Daphnia pulex: one gene and its partners. The protein of the gene in region 2 interacts with the protein of the main gene of each other region in a biochemical or structural test. Links are inferred from orthologs where the notes say so. Each region holds a gene or a part of one and is shown on either strand. Other genes may lie near its edges.

What was found.
Region 1: the proteins of E3 ubiquitin-protein ligase parkin-like (region 2) and PRKCA-binding protein-like form a complex in vitro, tested with the Homo sapiens proteins (3 studies listed by BioGRID and IntAct, with this or other methods). The link is inferred for Daphnia pulex from reciprocal best matches to the Homo sapiens genes PRKN and PICK1.
Region 3: the proteins of E3 ubiquitin-protein ligase parkin-like (region 2) and E3 ubiquitin-protein ligase NRDP1-like form a complex in vitro, tested with the Homo sapiens proteins (2 studies listed by BioGRID, with this or other methods). The link is inferred for Daphnia pulex from reciprocal best matches to the Homo sapiens genes PRKN and RNF41.

The regions. Positions count from the first base shown.
Region 1 is NC_060018.1:684,266-690,294, forward strand, and holds the start of PRKCA-binding protein-like, read left to right. Parts: upstream 1-1,688; 5' UTR 1,689-1,935; coding exon 1,936-1,982; exon of another isoform or gene 1,983-2,422; coding exon 2,423-2,482; intron 2,483-2,682; coding exon 2,683-2,712; intron 2,713-2,982; coding exon 2,983-3,222; intron 3,223-3,788; coding exon 3,789-3,900; intron 3,901-3,980; coding exon 3,981-4,111; intron 4,112-4,215; coding exon 4,216-4,435; intron 4,436-4,567; coding exon 4,568-4,619; intron 4,620-4,735; coding exon 4,736-4,869; intron 4,870-5,037; coding exon 5,038-5,145; intron 5,146-5,208; coding exon 5,209-5,294; intron 5,295-5,365; coding exon 5,366-5,429; intron 5,430-5,511; coding exon 5,512-5,700; intron 5,701-5,763; coding exon 5,764-5,865; 3' UTR 5,866-6,029. UniProt on the Homo sapiens protein: Probable adapter protein that bind to and organize the subcellular localization of a variety of membrane proteins containing some PDZ recognition sequence.
Region 2 is NC_060026.1:3,259,667-3,265,695, reverse strand, and holds E3 ubiquitin-protein ligase parkin-like, read right to left. Parts: upstream 3,353-6,029; 5' UTR 3,242-3,352; intron 3,182-3,241; 5' UTR 3,127-3,181; coding exon 2,869-3,126; intron 2,804-2,868; coding exon 2,614-2,803; intron 2,553-2,613; coding exon 2,213-2,552; intron 2,145-2,212; coding exon 1,808-2,144; intron 1,746-1,807; coding exon 1,620-1,745; intron 1,553-1,619; coding exon 1,468-1,552; intron 1,403-1,467; coding exon 1,293-1,402; 3' UTR 790-1,292; coding exon of another isoform or gene 643-789; 3' UTR 581-642; downstream 1-580. Other genes in the region: translocation protein SEC63 homolog, read left to right, coding at 1-574, 643-789; histone H3, read right to left, coding at 3,977-4,387; histone H4, read left to right, coding at 4,682-4,993; histone H2B.3, read right to left, coding at 5,679-6,029. UniProt on the Homo sapiens protein: Functions within a multiprotein E3 ubiquitin ligase complex, catalyzing the covalent attachment of ubiquitin moieties onto substrate proteins. Substrates include SYT11 and VDAC1.
Region 3 is NC_060021.1:11,014,095-11,020,054, reverse strand, and holds E3 ubiquitin-protein ligase NRDP1-like, read right to left. Parts: upstream 3,183-5,960; 5' UTR 3,131-3,182; coding exon 3,041-3,130; intron 2,951-3,040; coding exon 2,808-2,950; intron 2,738-2,807; coding exon 2,581-2,737; intron 2,515-2,580; coding exon 2,227-2,514; intron 2,168-2,226; coding exon 1,892-2,167; 3' UTR 1,461-1,891; downstream 1-1,460. UniProt on the Homo sapiens protein: Acts as E3 ubiquitin-protein ligase and regulates the degradation of target proteins. Polyubiquitinates MYD88. Negatively regulates MYD88-dependent production of pro-inflammatory cytokines.

The DNA of each region.
Region 1 (6,029 bases), on a different chromosome or scaffold from region 2:
GTTACTTTTGCCCCCCCACCCAAAAGGCCAGACACACACATACACACTATATACTATATTGGGTTGAGAGGGAATCGACGCTCTATAGGCATGGCACAAGATCTTTTATAGACAACGCCGGCGCACTACTGGACAAGCCAAAAAAGCGGAACCCCCTTTTTTTTCCAACCCACACGAAAACAATATTCGAGACATATCTAACCCATGTTATACTCATCATTACTGAGACTACTATAGGTACTATAAATGTGATGTTGCTACGTGCCCAAAGCCCCAAAGTAAAGCGCATATCCGCCGCCCTCACACTTTCGTTTGACGTCTTCATTGTTATTCAACTTGTTTAACCAGTCTGCCGTCATCGGCTCTCTCTCGGGTTATTGGTTCGTCATCTCTTCATTATTCAGCCGTGCCAGTCCATACACATGAATCGACTCTTTCCGTTCATAAGACAACGGCTATAAGTGTATTACATTATTTCACTCCACGTAATAGATGTGTACACGGCGTGCGCTGGCACATGACTTTGAATGCATCCAACATCATCAAAATCTATCTAGCCAACAACTCTGCTCCCCTTATGTAGCCTGCTGCTGGGAAAAAAAATCGTGACGTGTGTACTACTAGACTCGTCACGACGACGGCCCAACTTTCTTTTCATATTTTTCCCATTACACCCGCGAGTTTCTTGAGTGGCGTTATTCATCAACTCGCCGAGAGTCTATATAGCGGCTAGAAACTTTCTTCATTTGCCTACATCAAATGTATACATAGAGCAGCCCAGTAGTTATATATACAAAACAGCGCCGAGCAAGTGACTGCTGGGCGCTTTTCATCTTCATCCGCTAGCCGGAAATAAATAAAAAAAAAAGTTGGCAAAAGACGACAAGAAACGTCTCGTTCGTTCGCTTTTCTATTATGAAAATAGCCCCCCCCCCCCCCACCACCATCCGATCGATGATGATGAATCTCTTTGTACTCTTCTTCTTCACTATGTACACACAACTGGAGATGTTCCACCATTATGGGCTGCTACTGGCTGCCGACTTGGCCCGGTGTGTGTATAAAAGGGCCTAGAAAAGGGGTAATCAGTTCGCCCGTTGCCAAAGGTTGACGTCAGCGGGCGTTTCTATATCATCGATTAGTTGCCACTCTCGTCAATTAGCTCGACGCCGCTTTTGATTATTCAGCAGCAGCCGAGATTGATTCCTGTTTGGTTATTTGAATCGACCAATGAATTCCGGTCGTATCGAAATGATTAAAACAACGGCGCAGCGGCAGCATATAACCAATCAAAGTGGAGGGCTGCGCTGTTGATGAGGATGTATCCAGCAACATTATTATTTTGGGTGCCGTATTCCGGTGCTGCCGGATGGTGTTGAAGAGTTCAGAGGAACCACTCAGCCCTGCTCATTTATGTATCAGAAGAGTTTGAACGATCTACCCGAAGAGTTCCCGCTGGACGAATCGATAACTTCCTCAGCTGGGCCGAATGCGGAGAGCGGACAAAAAAAGAGGGTGGCGTATATAATACATTATTGAAGGGGCGACTGAATGACACAAGGAGAATGAGAGAGAGGGGGGAAACCAGAAGAGTCGACGCGCAGGGTGCGCATCCGCCAGTCTTCACGCAACTCCCAGCAGAGCTCGTCCGGCGTTGCCGGATTTTTGAAGCGAGTCGACACGATCGATAAGGGGACCGTTTTCCTGGGCTTATCGAGACGGGAAGGAGAAGCCTGGTGGTGCTGGCCCCAGCCGTTGTAAGTGAGTAGACGACAATTTCTATACGGGTGTACACAAAACAGCTGTGGCAACTGTGGCGACCAGCACCGGGCATCTCTCCTGCTGCTGCTGTCTGCATGTGTCGTAACGTCATTTGACAAACAACCGCATCTCTCTCTCTCTATCGTCTCTGTGCTGAAACAACAATCACCCAAAATGTTGTCCGATTACGAGCCAGACTTTTTTTTCGAAGAGGACAAGATGTAAGTTGATTCGTTCCCTTTTGTAGCTATAGCTCAATCCATTCCGCATTCATTTTTATTTTTGTTCGGTGCGTTCACGTTTTCCGGTTTTTTTTCCCGTTTGATTGCGTGTGTGACGTCGTCGCATGAAAAGAACTCGTTAACCGACTGGTCGATTCGACTCGAGTTCTCCCAAAAACCCCAAATGTTTACCATCGATTTCAGTTACTACAAGTGTCACTTGACAACACTTTTGGTCGTGTAATTATTTTGGCTGCGGGCAGAATAATAGTCAAGAGTGTTGAGAGAAAAGAAAAAAATAATAATAACTCGGTGGTGTTGTTGTGTGCTGCCCTTTTGTTCAGTTCAGTTCAGTTCATTCTTCATCGCTCTGTGTTGTATTTTCATTTTTGGCCGTTGGATTTCCGTTGAGTCAATTTGGCTGCGCGCGCGCACATCAGCGAAAAGAGCAAAATGTGGCCGTATTACGCCGCCCAGTTGCCCATGAAAGAAGATTCCATGTAATTTTCGTTTGATTTTGTTTTTTTTTTGTTACTTATTTTTATTTGCTTTAAAAACTCACGGCGCATTCTTTTTTTTTTCTTTCACGGCTTGATGAATTTTATGATTGATGTGTTTTTTTAAATTTTTTATTTCCTTATTTCCTTCAATATTACGCACTCGCCTTCACTCGCTCTATTTGCGCGCTCCAATCCAAAAGTCCCGAAACGACTTTTCACAGCGGAACCGGGTAAAAACCATCGACGTAGATAGAGACAACCATAAAACCAGTTCGATATTATATAATCTATATAGCTCAAAAATCCCAGTAGATAATCCCATACACACGAACAGAAACGGACATTGTTTCTCCGATAATAACGACGTTATATTTCTATTCTTATTTCTACCAAAATCACGAAAATCGATATACACGAACTAACTGTGCGTGACCACCTGGGAAAACGTGACCGACCAACAAATCACCTGGACCGCCGGCAATGATGGATATGGCCAGTAGTAATAAAGTTAGCTGGGACGACGACCTATCAATAACAAGTCCATCAGATGAACGTCATAATATCCAGAGCTCTCGTGACGACTGCGATGGTAGCCCAGCAGCGGCAGCTAATAACGACGACGACATTGTCCCGGCCGTTGTTAATTCCGACGAGCTTGAATCGTCCTCTAGCATGATTCTTCTTGAGGTCGAAGACATTGAGGACGAACTACGTGGATTTTTCTGGCCAGAGAATCGAGAGTAAGTCGACGACCCGAGTGCGCGCCTGTACAATCTGCAAAATGTAGAATCGTCGTCGACTATATATAATACGCCTCGCAGTGCGTGCAGCAGTTTAATGGTGTGCGCTATAAATAGAGAGAGGATCGATATTATTTGCCATCTGTATAGCAGCTCGTTTTGCTGCTGGTAAAGCCCATCATCAAATAGTTATTCCATTTTCCAACTTTTGGGCTCTTTAGATGTATGTATAATCATGTAGTCTCTAATTCAACGTCGTGTACTCTTTCGACCTCGTTATTTCGGCCGCCCTTTCTGCGGTCTTTGACGTGTACTCTAACGCTTTTATCACGCTCTCACGATCGATTGGCTATATAGTAGCTCTGTGCATATTATTAGGCTACTATGTATGTTACATTTCGGGGCTCTATTGGCTGAGCTGGCTTCTGCTTCTGCTTTTGAAATTGTGTATGATTGATGTTACGTGGCTTTGAGAAATTATCGACTGGCAAGTCGATAACTTATTTATCTGCCATTTCGCATCGTTGAAATGAATTAAAAATGAATGTTTGCATCACGTATAACAGGGGAATGACGATTACGACGGGTTCCATCGTTCTGGAAAAGGACGGATCAAATTTGATTGGAATCAGCATCGGAGGAGGTGCACCTTATTGCCCTTGCCTCTACATTGTCCAGGTTTATTAACCGAAATCTATCCGGCGCTTCCGGCGCGGTGCGGATGGAATTTTTAAAATTCGTATGTTGGGTAAATTTAGATATTTGACAACACTGCAGCCGCGAAAGACGGTACACTTCAAAGTGGCGACGAAATAATTGGAGTGGACAACGTCTCGGTCAAAGGCAAAACCAAATCCGAAGTGGCTAAAATGATTCAAGCCGCCCAAAGGTAATCATAATAATCAGATTTCCTCCGCGCGTAACTATATATACGTACTTTGGAAGGAACCAACAAATTTGAATTTCAATTTCGTGGTATTTTTAAAATTGTAGTTCAGTCACGATCCGGTACAACAAACTTCACGCAGAGCCCGCCCAGGGCAAGACGTTGGATTTGATCCTGAAGAAAGTCAAGCACCGCTTCGTCGAAAACATGTCCAGCTCGACGGCCGACGCTCTGGGACTTTCGAGGGCTATCTTGTGCAACGACAGCTTGTTGAAGCGTCTAGAAGATCTCAAGCGTTGCGAGGGAATGTACCGAGGCTTAGTCGAGGTATATTGCGTGTACCTTCTTCGTCTTATTCTATCATTATTTGCTTGTTCACGTCACGTTGTTGTTGATGTTCTTCCTTCCACAAACACGTCACGGATGTCATTATTTTTCAAAATTGGGTTCGTTATATAGCACACCAGGCGACTCCTACGCTCCTACTACGACCTCTCCCAAACTTACAAAGGTATATATTTTATAATGGACTCGAAATAAGATTGAAAGTGGAGTGAACTTTTTTCTTAGTCCAAGAAGAGACTTAAATTTTCATGAAACGAATGTTCTTGTCGTGTGTCTTCTTAGACTTTGGCAACATCTTTTCAACCATCGGCGTTCGCGAGTTGCAGCCTCGAGCCAGCGAAGTTTTCACAAAGTTTGGCGAGATCCATCGGCAAATGGAACGCTACGGCGTCCAAATGATTAAACAACTCAAGCCGGTATACTTAATATAACATCCGGCGCCGAGCGAGTTTTCCAGCAAAAAGCCTCCGGCTTCGATACAAAACTTTTGTCTGATGTGCTTGCTGCCCCTCCACAGCATCTGCAGCAGCGAAACTTTTGTCCGTTCATATCTAACTGAATCAATCCATACATGTTTAAATCAGGTGCTGGCGGATTTAGGGACTTTTCTCCACAAAGCCATCCCAGATACGCGGATGACCATCGGTCGCTATGCTGACGCAAAGTTTGAATATCTCTCCTATTGTTTGAAGGTATGTATAACATGGGATGTCTGACTATTGATCCCGAATTTAATGAACTTGGCGATGAATCAGGTCAAAGAAATGGACGACGAAGAGCAGAGCTACCACACGCTACAAGAGCCTTCCTACAGGATTGAAACGGGAAATTACGAATACCGGTAATCGATACATCTCAAATCCCGCGTATAGAATTCAAATGTTAATTTATTGGTTGGCCCACATGACGCAGATTGGTTCTTCGATGCCGCCAAGACGCCAGGGCGCGATTTGCCGCTCTACGGTCCGACGTTCAGGTATAATAGTGAAAGCCACGCTGTTTTATAACACACAGCAGTAATTTATTAAAGTGAATAACAAGATGAACCCATCCATCAGGTCAAAATCGAGTTACTTGACAACAAGCACGTACAGGATGTCGTGCAGCAGCTCCAGAGGCTTTTGAGTCATTTGACAACCTTTTACGACCAGTGCCATCAGCTGCTGGACGGGCAGCGTTTCTTCCCGATCGAAGTAGACCTAGCCAAAGGTGCATTCACTTACGAATCTGTCGGCGGCCAATTTCAGGTATGTGCGCAGTATACAAAAAGATAAAGGTAAATAACACATAATGAATATTCGATTCCGCAGTCGCAGGATGACGATGAACCGGAAGAATACAACGTCGCAGAGGAAGCTAAGGAAATGGCAGAGAACAGCGGAGAAGTCCAATCACTCATATCAATGGATTAAACAAAGAATATGTGCATGCATGAATGATATTTACCGTTAACGTACACAAGAAAACCCAATGGAGTATGCCGAAGGGGTCAACATTATATTTCTAAAAAACATTTAGATTTTTGCTTAACTGATCTTAAATATGATTTCATCATATAATGCGGGATATGTATAAT
Region 2 (6,029 bases):
ACCCAAAAAGAAGTCACTACCGTGGCAGAAAAACAAAGGCAAGAGAGCTACTAATAAAAAAGGCAGCAAAAAGCCAATAAAGAAGGAAGTAGAAGATAAGAAGAAGACTGCAGCAGCATCAAGTAAAACAGCTAACAAGACAAAGGAAGAAGAATCCGAAAGTTGTAGTGAAGTTGAAGCCGAGGACGAAGTTGAATTGGACGAATCTGACGACGGCGAGGCGGAAGCAGCCAACAATGATGGTTCTTTGCCCGAGAAAGACGACGATCAATTAGAAAAGCTACAGAGTGATGTTGCAATGCGTCGCCAGAGGCTGCTGGAGGGTAAAAGTCAGTTTTCGCACTCGGTGTACTGCCCGTTCTATCCCGAAGACAAACAAGAATATTGGTGGGCTTATATTACGGACCGGAAACAACAAATGCTTCTGACCGCCCCCTATCACATTACCAATCTAGTAGAGCACGAAGAAATCCAACTCAAATTCACAGCTCCGTTCAAGCCGGGATTCTACACGTTCGCCGTGTGTTTACGCTCCGATTCATATTTTGGTTTTGATCAAATGAAGGATATCAAGGTATATTCCGGCTAATTATTTTAATTTTGCTAAATAGGTTATTGATTGATTAAAATTTTAATTCACAGATGGACGTTAAAGAAGCAGAGGAGATTCCTACTGAGCATCCACAATGGGATATTTCCGATGATGAGGATGAAGAAGATAAGAACTCTGGAGGCTCCGAATCTGAATTTGCTACCGATGATGATGACGAAGAGAGTGGCAAGGACTGATTGCAGTAGAAATGAGACTTTTTTTTCACTTGCCAGAGACTTCAACATTCTGTTCATTGGGAAAAAGGATTCAATTTCATCACCGTCTTGTAAAGGCTTAAAATCTTGAAAAATTTATTTCTAGTGGGAATCTTCTGGCTTTATTTTCATTGGCTATACATATGGGTATTTATCATTCCCTATACCTCGACTGCCGATTACACAAATCTTGTCTAGGCCTTCAATCGGTGAAACACGGGATGTTTGCAATATTTTGATTGTGACAGTTGGAAAATTAAAGGCTTCTTAAGACTTCCCTAGAACAGCATTTGAATATTTCGGATAAATGATTCATTTCAATTTTCAATTAACAGATTTGTCTAGATTATTATAGGAACCAAATGTCATCAATTTCTTGACTAGTATAGCGTAAAGAAATGTACACTCTCCACCCTTATACTACCCGACACCAAGGAACCACGGTACTTTATAAAAGGGTTGATAAAGAAAGCGGAAAGGTTGTCTTATCCGAACCAGTGACTTCCCATGCACTCTCTTGTCCACTCCGTTTGACAAACCCAGCACCAATGAAATCCACACTGTTGTCGAGTACAGATCATGTGCATACAACCTCCTGTGAACAAACAAGAAATTAGCTACACCGTTAGAGAAATAATCCCAGATCATAATTTAATTTACCATCTCGCTCGGTTGGCGTTCGGCACTTTGGGCAAGGTTTTGAAGTAACACGTATGGTAACGCGACTGTCTGCATCCCACCTCGCCTAAGTAAATAATTTCATGTTACTCATTTAATCTAGAATCAAGCTCAAATGTGGATATTAGAGAAACCTGAGCAGCTCGTCCGGGATCTACAACGTACTCGGTGGTTGTCAACATGGATTGAAAGTTGTTTTCTCCATTTGTCTGACACTCGTCGATGTGATAGCCTTGTAGGCAATCGCGGCAGAACACGAACTGAGTTGCGAAAAACATTTAGACATTTTTTAACAAGGTTATATTTATGAGAATATGCTTACCTCACATCCCCCTGTGCATTGAATTCGGCGACAAGAAGGGTCCGCAAGTAAGCCCATTCCACAGCCAGGTTGTGGACAAAGCACACCACCTGTCGACATAACATATTCCTCTGCTCCAAAGTGCAGGAGTCGTTGGTACTGCTCATTTCCTAGAATTTTAAAGTGCTGGGTTCCGTCGATCAATGAGTTCTCACATCCAGCTGGACAAGGCAGGGTATAACCGATATTGGGATCGAAGACAAACCTCCTTTCGTTCAATCGAGACATACAGTATTGCTGGAAGCACTCCAAACATATCACATGAGAGTTGGTACATTGAAATACCAAAACAGGATCACTAAAGTGGGATATTAAAATAAGTTGCCAAGTTACTGAATTCTATCTTAACTTTAAAACGATTGCTACCTAATATCCATGCAGGCCAGGCACTGAACCTGTTTGAAGTTTGATTTGACGAGATTCAGAGGAAGAGTTGAGTCAGTCTCTCCTCGTGAAGGGTGATGTGCGCACTTGAAGTAGAATTCGGCCCACGAATGATCACAATCTTCCATCTGACAAGTACCACTAACTTGCTCCGGTCGTAAAACATCATCCCAGCAGCAAGGATCTCGGTCCACGGTGAAGGCACCAGCTTTGCAAAGGCTACATCGAACTCGAAGTTTACCACTTTGTATTGATTTGCATGGAAATTCACAGTAAACATAAAACTGAGCTTTCTTTTGCTTATACTCTGGAGAACTACAAGCTAAAAACGAGGAAGTTGTCAGAATTCATAAAATGATTTGGAAAACTATTTGCAGACGTACCCAGAGATTTGTGCAACAATTTCTGTTCCTCTTCAGTTAACTGCAAGTCGAGCAATGTTTCACAAAGAGGCTTGTCTTGATGAAATGGTGTATTTCTCCTATTTTTGTCTTCGGAAGAAGTTGCATCAGTTTTTTTTATGACTTTAAGTTTAACAGCATTTAGAATACTATTATGACCAAGATCACACTCCTAAAAATTTGTTGGGTAAATTAAACTTAGAATATCAACAAAAGCAATATAAGAAATTAACAAACCTCTAGTAACAAGTCATCAGCAAGACTTTTGCCAGCCAAAATAATGCTGATATCTTCAACTTTCAGACCAACTTTAGGGGCTATAAATTTCTTGATCCGAGCTACATCCCAATCTCGACTCATTTCGATAAGAAATGTTTTACCTCCTGCAGCTTTTATGTGAACAGGCAGGGTAAATTCACTTGAATCACTGGGCCAAAAAAATCTCAAAATTCTGTTCAATAATGAACGTATGAGCGACAACAGCCATTTAATCATTCTGTAGGTTTACGTGAAAAACCCAAGATTGAAGAACATTATGAAAGCGAGATATCTACGTAAAAAATGTATAATTTAAATAACCAAAAATATTTTATATTTTTATATTGCATACCGGCACGAACTGAAAATATTGTTTACGTTGGCTTCGGTTGAAATGAATTGGAACAAACGTCGTCTGCAGTCTGCTGTGAAATGGACTAGCAACAATTTCGTCATAATATTTAGTTAGTAGGTTGACGCTAGCACCTTCTCTTCGTCACTCTCATCAACAAGTCAACTTCGTCTTATTATATTTAGCAGAGTATATAAAAGGTAACGAAATTATCTGTTATTCTGGTGTTTAGTGAGATTGTGGCTTGTAGGCTTTTATGGCTCTAGAAGGTCAACTTAAACTTGTCAAACTAAAAACTGCTGTAAATTTCTAGAATAAGTAATGTCGAAAAATCCTTGATATACTTAACCTCTTTCGTAAGCCCCTCTTTTTCGGTCATACCTACACGTTTATTTACATAAGTAATTATCGAAATCCGTACTTTAACTGAAAATGACGAACCCAACAGAAGTCGACCAAATCATGTTACTGGGTTACTTTTAATTAAATTAGTTTTAGGTCTTATATAACGTTACACTTCTTATAGCAACTAACTAATTATTCTAAAATTCAACCTTGGATGAAAGAAATTTATACAACTATTAATTTCCAGAAAATTAGAAAGAAGTTGGTAATTAAACAATACTGATCTAGTTTAATCCAAGATATTGAAATGTCTGGCAGGAAAAATCTTTTCAAGCAACTAATGGTGGCCCTGAAAAGGGCCGATTGGTAAGTCAAAAGGGAAAAGGTCGCTTAGGCACGTTCACCACGAATACGACGAGCGAGCTGGATGTCTTTTGGCATGATGGTGACTCGCTTGGCGTGGATGGCGCACAAGTTGGTGTCTTCGAAAAGACCCACCAAGTAAGCCTCGCTGGCCTCCTGCAGGGCCATGACGGCCGAGCTCTGGAAACGCAAATCTGTCTTGAAATCCTGGGCGATTTCTCTGACCAAGCGCTGGAATGGCAACTTGCGGATCAGAAGCTCGGTCGACTTTTGGTAGCGACGGATCTCACGAAGGGCGACGGTGCCGGGACGATAACGATGGGGTTTCTTGACTCCTCCAGTGGCCGGGGCACTCTTGCGAGCGGCTTTGGTGGCCAACTGTTTGCGGGGCGCCTTGCCACCGGTGGATTTACGAGCAGTTTGCTTGGTACGAGCCATTTCGAGCGAGTGAAATTTCAGATGTCCTAACTAGTGAAAAGTGCTTGGTATATGTGGGGAACCTACGGACGTTGCAGAGCTAAGCGAGTTCACTGGCTAGGGATTGGTTAATTCAAAAATGGGAGGGAATAGAAAATTTATAACGGAAATCCTTTTTGTTGACAAATGATGGCTGGAGCTGAGTTCCACCAATAGGAGTTCAGCTTGAGGATCCGGTAGGGTATATATTGGGACCATAGTGAGTTTAACATAACATCATTCGATATTTTTTAAATCTCTGAAACTTATTTGAAAATGACTGGTCGCGGCAAAGGAGGAAAAGGACTCGGCAAGGGAGGCGCCAAACGTCATCGCAAAGTTTTGCGTGACAACATCCAGGGAATCACCAAGCCGGCCATCCGTCGTCTTGCCCGTCGTGGTGGTGTCAAGCGAATCTCTGGTCTCATCTACGAGGAGACCCGCGGTGTGTTGAAGGTGTTCCTTGAGAACGTGATTCGTGACGCCGTCACCTACACTGAACACGCCAAGAGGAAGACGGTGACGGCCATGGACGTCGTCTACGCATTGAAACGCCAGGGCCGCACTCTGTACGGCTTCGGCGGTTAAATTTGATTCCGATTTATTATTTTAACTCCTGACTCAATCCAATCGGCCCTTTTCAGGGCCACCATTTACTTAAAGAAAAAGATTTCTTAACCACTTTTTAAACCATATTCTTGTCGACTTTATGCTGCTACAAGAACAAAATCCTTGAATTTTGAATTAATAAGCATCATTCTTTTATTTCATCTTTGAAAGATTTGATTGACATAGCAGGTGTTGGAGCAATGCGTCCTAAAGGATCTTGTGATCTGAAACTATGTTAATCCAAATAACTCGATCGAAAAATATCGAGATGCTGTTATGTTATTGATATTGTTTTCTCAGATTTTACGCAGTATTTTTATTTTTAACTTTCATATTTAACAAAAATCTTCCTTAGTTCCTTAGTATGTAGAAGGAGTTGCTAACGGAGATAAATTTTAATATCAATCATTTTCTAAATCAAATGAATATGTAAAATCAACGCATTGAACCGGATCTGCCAAACTTAAAATTCAGCAGAAAGATAGAGAAAAGCTCTTGATCACAGTATTTCCTAACGTTCCGTCGCACTAATCAACAATATGGGTTCAGTTTAGAACTCGATTAGATAATAAATGTCAAAAGTAGTTAGATGTTTTTCCTTTCTTTAAAATTTGGTGGCCCTGAAAAGGGCCGTTTGGTTTGTAGAGAGAACAAGAGGATCACTCTACTTGGTGCTGGTGTACTTGGTCACTGCCTTGGTGCCTTCAGACACGGCGTGCTTGGCCAACTCACCGGGCAAGAGCAGACGGACGGCCGTCTGGATTTCCCGGCTGGTGATGGTCGACCGCTTGTTGTAGTGGGCGAGACGGGACGACTCTCCAGCGATGCGCTCGAAAATGTCGTTGACGAAGCTGTTCATGATGGTCATGGCTTTGGAGGAGATGCCAGTGTCGGGGTGGACCTGCTTCAACACTTTGTAGATGTAAATGGCGTAGCTCTCCTTCCTCTTGCGCTTCTTCTTCTTGTCGCCCTTGGCGATGTTCTTCTGGGCCTTGCCGGCCTTCTTCGCAGCTTT
Region 3 (5,960 bases), on a different chromosome or scaffold from region 2:
CACTGTTGTTGCTCTCACCATCCGCTGGTCGTGTCTTATTATGTCGCCATTTCGATTATTTGACCTTCTTCCCTCGTTTCCACTCCGCACAGACTCACGCAGTGAGTACACACACACCACACGTATTTTGATTTTCCACCTCTAATTAGCGAGTTGGATGTATTGAAAAAAAAGACAAAAAAAAAAGAGTCCCATCGACTGATTGTATCATGCTATGTATAAATTACCTGAGACTGTGTTCAAAAATTGTCACCACAGAGCCGACGACAACAACAACAACCATTTCTCCTGCTCCTCAACCCGTTTCTTTTGGTTTTTGTTGTCCTCCCAGCGTGTGTGCTGGTTGCGCGGGTCTGTGGACAAGTCGTGTCGTGATTACCCACATTATCTTTCTCTCCCTCTCTCTCTCGTGTTCGTGCTCGCGCGAGCGAGATTGAGCTCACTGGCCGTCATTATGGAGCGACGACGACGTCTTGCTGCGCTTCTTTCCTCTCCCGACCCCGCCCAATTTGAGACGAAGAATTATTGAGGTTAAAGCGACAAGGAGAAGAACAAACAAATGTGTGCTGCAGTTGCGCAGTGTGGGCTTTTTTTGATTATTTGATTTTCTTTTTTTTTTGTTCAAAACCGAACGGACCTCACAGATCAGATCCGATTGTCAGCAGATTCGGGATCGTCGGTTACCCCCCATTTTTTCCCTTCATTCTGAAACTCGCTCACCCCCCTTACAAACTTTAATTGCCGTTTGATTCACCCCCCATCTTTTATTTTCTCTCTCTCTCTCTCTAAATAGATATACAGAAGATTTTATATATTATATTATCGATTCTATTACGTCGAAACAAAAGCCAATCATTTGTCTTTTATTTTCCATGCGTGTGTGTGTGTTTCAGATTCCAGAAGCTCAGTACAAGAATTGTATATACATGTTCGCACAGACACAACAAACACAATGTAGTTTTTCTTTGACGTTTGATTTCGATCCAACCACTTTATTATTACGTCTCTCTCTCTCTCTCTATCTCTCTCTGGCTCATCGATTTTGTCCTTAATTGTGAATAACTTGTTTTGAAATCATCTCTTTAGCTTCCCGTATCATGTTGTTTCACTACCCGCCGATCCTTCCCCTCCGCCATTCGAATGGAGACGAAAACAAAGTTTCGAAAAAGAAAGAAAATCAACTTCATTAAAAAAGAGGAAGTGTTTTTGAGTGATGTGATTAAATACTCGGATGAGCATGGCTATGTGATGTAGTGCGATTACATCTCCAAAAAATCCACCCCCAACCCTCAACCCATTTCCACACTTTGAAAAAAACAAAAATGTTACATAACATGTGTGACGATGATGTGATTATAACTGAAAAGAGAGAAGAAGTAAACCCGGTTTGAAAAAGATAATAACAGAAAAATAATCGACGAAAAGATAAAAAAAAAATACACACAAACACACACTGTCTATACCATACGATTGACTTCTCAGTTATTGTTTTATTATTTATTATTCCGCAGCATCGGCGGAATATACTATCATTATTTGCACATAAAAGTTGATGATGAAAGAAAACAAGATTTTTGCCATCATTAATCAAGTATCGAACATTTACAACCGCCGAAGAGCGGGGACACCAATTGAGAAACATTTCAAATAAAAACCTACACCTAGCCCCCAAACTGAGCACGATTCAATGAAAGTAACTGATGACGATAAACAATTCGAAAAAAGATAAATCAGATTCTTTTAAGTAAGTTGAGAGGACTGCTGCTTCTGAACTAAAGGACAAAAGGGACAAATTCATTAGTGTCAGCTCGCTGGAGTGGTCCAGCCGGTCGCGAGGACACTGAAGACAAACATGTTGTTGGATTAATAATCTGACAAGAATTCCGGGGTGTCACTCTACACCGTGAGCAAAAATCATGATGAGACCCGGTTCCAATATCATATCTGGATTCATATGTCCGTTGTCGCAGGCCATGACGGCCACGGCTTGTTTGCCCGGAATCCTCCGGCAGACATAGTTCTCGTATTGACGCCGGTTCAGCTGGCGGATTTCCAACGACGACAATCCCGTCGGCCACCGCCGTTCGTGGGCGTTTTCCATCAGATCCTGGATGATGTGCGGTGGGCAACCCGATTCGGAAAGGGCTCTCTTGATCATTGCCTGCAACTTTAAAAGGTTATCGTATTTGATTGAATGTATTGAGCTCGCCAACTGTAGGATATTACCTGTAGCACCGTGTCCGGAGTCGAGATCATGCCACCCCAGCGCAGGACTCTCGCCTTGGGTAGAGTTTCGGCCCAGCGTCTCACTTCGTCGGCTTCCATCTGATCTGCCAGAATCCGCAGCGAAGGATTGGCGTTCCGCATGGCTAGCATGTAGTCCTTCAGCAGCTGCAGTTCTCGTTTCTGTTCGCTCATCTGAAATTTGCCCTCGGCTACTTCCGCCTGCACCTCAACTAGTTTCGATTGCTGGGCCTGCATCAACGAGCGCAGCTCTCGCACGCAGTTGTGTTCCTGGAAATGCAATCAACATAAATAAGGTACTATTTAAAGTTGTAACCTGTAAAACAACCCACTTACTTTCAACTCGTCTTTTGGCACAACTAGCCCACAGCCGAGCTCACATGGCACCGGTCTCTTTGGATTGAACTCACATTCTTGTACATGAGACTCCAGGGCATCTAGTTTCAATATTGCAGTGCACCCATAAACAGAGTTATCACAAGTGAGCTGTAGTCTAGAAAAATAATAGAGAAATGGTACAATTTCATACTGATAATAAGGTTTCAAACTTCCAAACCACCAACCTGTATAGTAGGTTCCGAAGTATTCTGGGAACAGGTCTCAGCTGAGGAGGGGTTATGTTTTGTCTGTCGACAGGACAAGTTGGCTGTCTCGAGAGCCACTCGTGAATGCAAGCAGAGCAAAATGCATGCTCACAGTTGGGTGCCTGAAATTACAAGTCTATTAAATCCATCACATTCCCTCTGGGGAAATTTTATTGCTACTCTCGCTTTTGGAAGCGAACTGTCATTATTACCTGTAACGGATTTTCGAGCACTGAACTACAAATTGGACACAACAATTCTTCATCAACTTCTCCTTGAAATCGATTTATTTCAATTCCCATTTTTCTTGGTTAACAAAACGGCCAAGAAAACTTTGACCTAATTAAGTAAACACACCTGCTTCTCAGTAAGAGTTCGCGTTTCTTTCTTTTTTAATAAAGGGGGAACAGAATTGACGTACCTAAATAAATGCAACAACAAGGTGTTGCAGAGCCATCGGGCGGTAGAAAAATTAAACCGTAAAACGCAGTCTGACGGTTAGGGAACGAAGTTTACATATGGAAGTGCCAACGTCACTTCTTTTCATTTCAAACCAATCCTTCAAATGCTGAACATGTAAGTTGATCAACACGTGGTTATTCTGGGTTTTCTAATTTTTTAGTTTCTCATTTAAGTTTTGAAAACGTAGTTGTAGGATATGGTTAACGCTCTTAACACAGTAATTAGCCTGAACATTTTTAATATCTATATGTGTATTGCTTTGGTAAGGTTGAAGTCTAATAAAACCGACTTTCTCTAAGAAGTATATTATAGAGAAAGAAGCCTCAGGTTGGTCTGGGGTTTCTTTGGTTAAAATGGACAAGTTTGATAATAAGTAGTTTTAAGTGAAATTCCATGTTCAGTCTGAAATCAATGTTGCAGTAACGGTCATGAGGCGAATGAAATTTCCTCTTGTCTAGTAACTAACTTGTCAATTTAAGTTGTTAATTTGCCTCATGTAGGAACAGGTTTGATTATATCTCTTAATCTGTTCATTTTAGGTTGATATCTTCAATGCCAGGAGGGATGATGGCAGATGAGTGCAAGGATCGGAAACAATTTTTGAAGGGCTGTGAGACAAATCATGCATTTAGGCTACATTGGTGCCTTGAAGACGACTAGTTTGGAAGGTAAAAACGAATTCCTATTGTATATGGGTAAATAGTCCTGATGACCCTAGGATTACAATGAAATTTAGTGTACCTAAATTAATATTTTGATTAAATCTCTATCGCAATATTCTGAAGTGTAGACCAAAGCAGTATCACACTGAAATGGTTTGTAGATTTTCATGATCAATTATGTCTAGATTGATTTCTGACCTCACTTGGTTTTGCACCGGTTGGTTGTAACCTATCTTCCAGAATTCGCTGATTTGAATGTAATCGAGGAATAAAGGTTGGTTTTCTTATCATATATGTAAAATATGCTGTTGGATTTTGCTGATGACACTCTTAGGACACCTAAATATGTACCCTGATTACTAAATGTGCTGAAAGTATCGAGTGACTTGTCGTCATTTTGGTCTAGTCCTCGCCTTAACGTTATATCGTTTTTACAGAGAAGATTCCATGCCAAGACATTTCGTGGAGGATGGATGTCGACTGTTACGGCTATGGAGCCAATGGAGGAGGTATAGTTATTTTTACATTTGCATTTGAGCCTCAGAGTCACCGGTTTAACGCACATGTAGTATTCCGGTGCTAGAGGATCTCATAAATTAAACGTCTAACCACTTATGCTCGATCTGTATTTATTGCAGAGGTTGATCACCTCGGTTTGAGACAATTTGTTTTGACTTTACAGGAAGATTTAACATTTTAATGGTGTTTATTTTTATTTTTTTGCAGGCAGTGGGTGTGCATTACACTAGATGAGATACAATCATGAAGGTGTTTGCGATTCTTAGGTAAATGGACAGTTTTAATGGTTTCTTTTGGATTTTTGTGATGAACAACAGTTTCCTGTGTTTCTGACAACCATGAAGACCCACTCGAGTCCCTGATAATTCAGGCTTTTTAATATCATTTAATCGGCTGTAAACAAATATTGACGATTTGTTTGGTTCGTTTATTCAGATTGTCTTGTTTAACAACCGCCGTCGATTGTTGAGCTACTGGGCCAAAAACTGGAGTTTCATTTTCTTTCGTTTCGAGATGCTGGTGATTTCATGATCTACGTAGTGAGTAGAGAGAATTACTTGTAATGTTTAACGTAAATTGAAATGATGAGAACGCTTAAAAGCATTTTCCGAGTTCCATGATGATTCATTCTGCCTTCCTTTTGATCTTTAACTGAGTTGACGATATCAGCGATACAAACTGATGTTATAGATTTATTTTTTTCTGTAGGTAATGTGGTATTGCTTCTTGGTCAACGTCATTGGAATCCGAGGAGTTCATTTTACACAAGGTAAATTTTTTTTAATGCGAGACTCGGCAAACAGGTTTGTTTAAGGAGACAATTGTACGCCAGGTTTCTTATTGTCCTGTTTGCAACATTAAAGCGAGTCCCTGAGGCCTTTCTTGCTTTGTTTTTTTTTTAAGCAAGGGGTTGGGCAACCGGACAAATTCATGAAAATAACTTGTGTTTTTTGTGTGTTCAGATGGACTGGTTTATTGTTCGGTGTTTTTTTTTTTTGGCGCCATCTTCATAGGATATTAGGTAATAGCTCAATATGTTAACGAATTAAACGTAAATATCATGATGAACAATTGTTTCCTGTGTTTCTGACAATTATATGAAGACTCACTCGAGTCCCTGATAGATTATTTATCTTAATCTGCATTTGAGCTACTGCTTTCTGCACCTTAACGATGATTTTATTTTGTCGTCTTTTTAGGTTGCTCGGTCGGTTGTCTTGGAGTACTTGGCGAGCATGTTATTGGGTATGTTGTGTTGTTTGTTGGTTAAATTTTTCTTATCTAATTTAATAATTTGGTATATCTAGGTCTGACTACGGTCTATTGGATTGTTGGAGATTTTGTTTATATACGTTTTCTTGATAAATCCCTGTTGTCGAGGTAAGAATGGTTCGATTATTGCGATCTTGGGCAAATGATATTTTGTAAAGAAATTGCTGAACACCAGATTTCTTTTTGTTCAGTTTGCAACATTAAAGCGAGTCCCTGA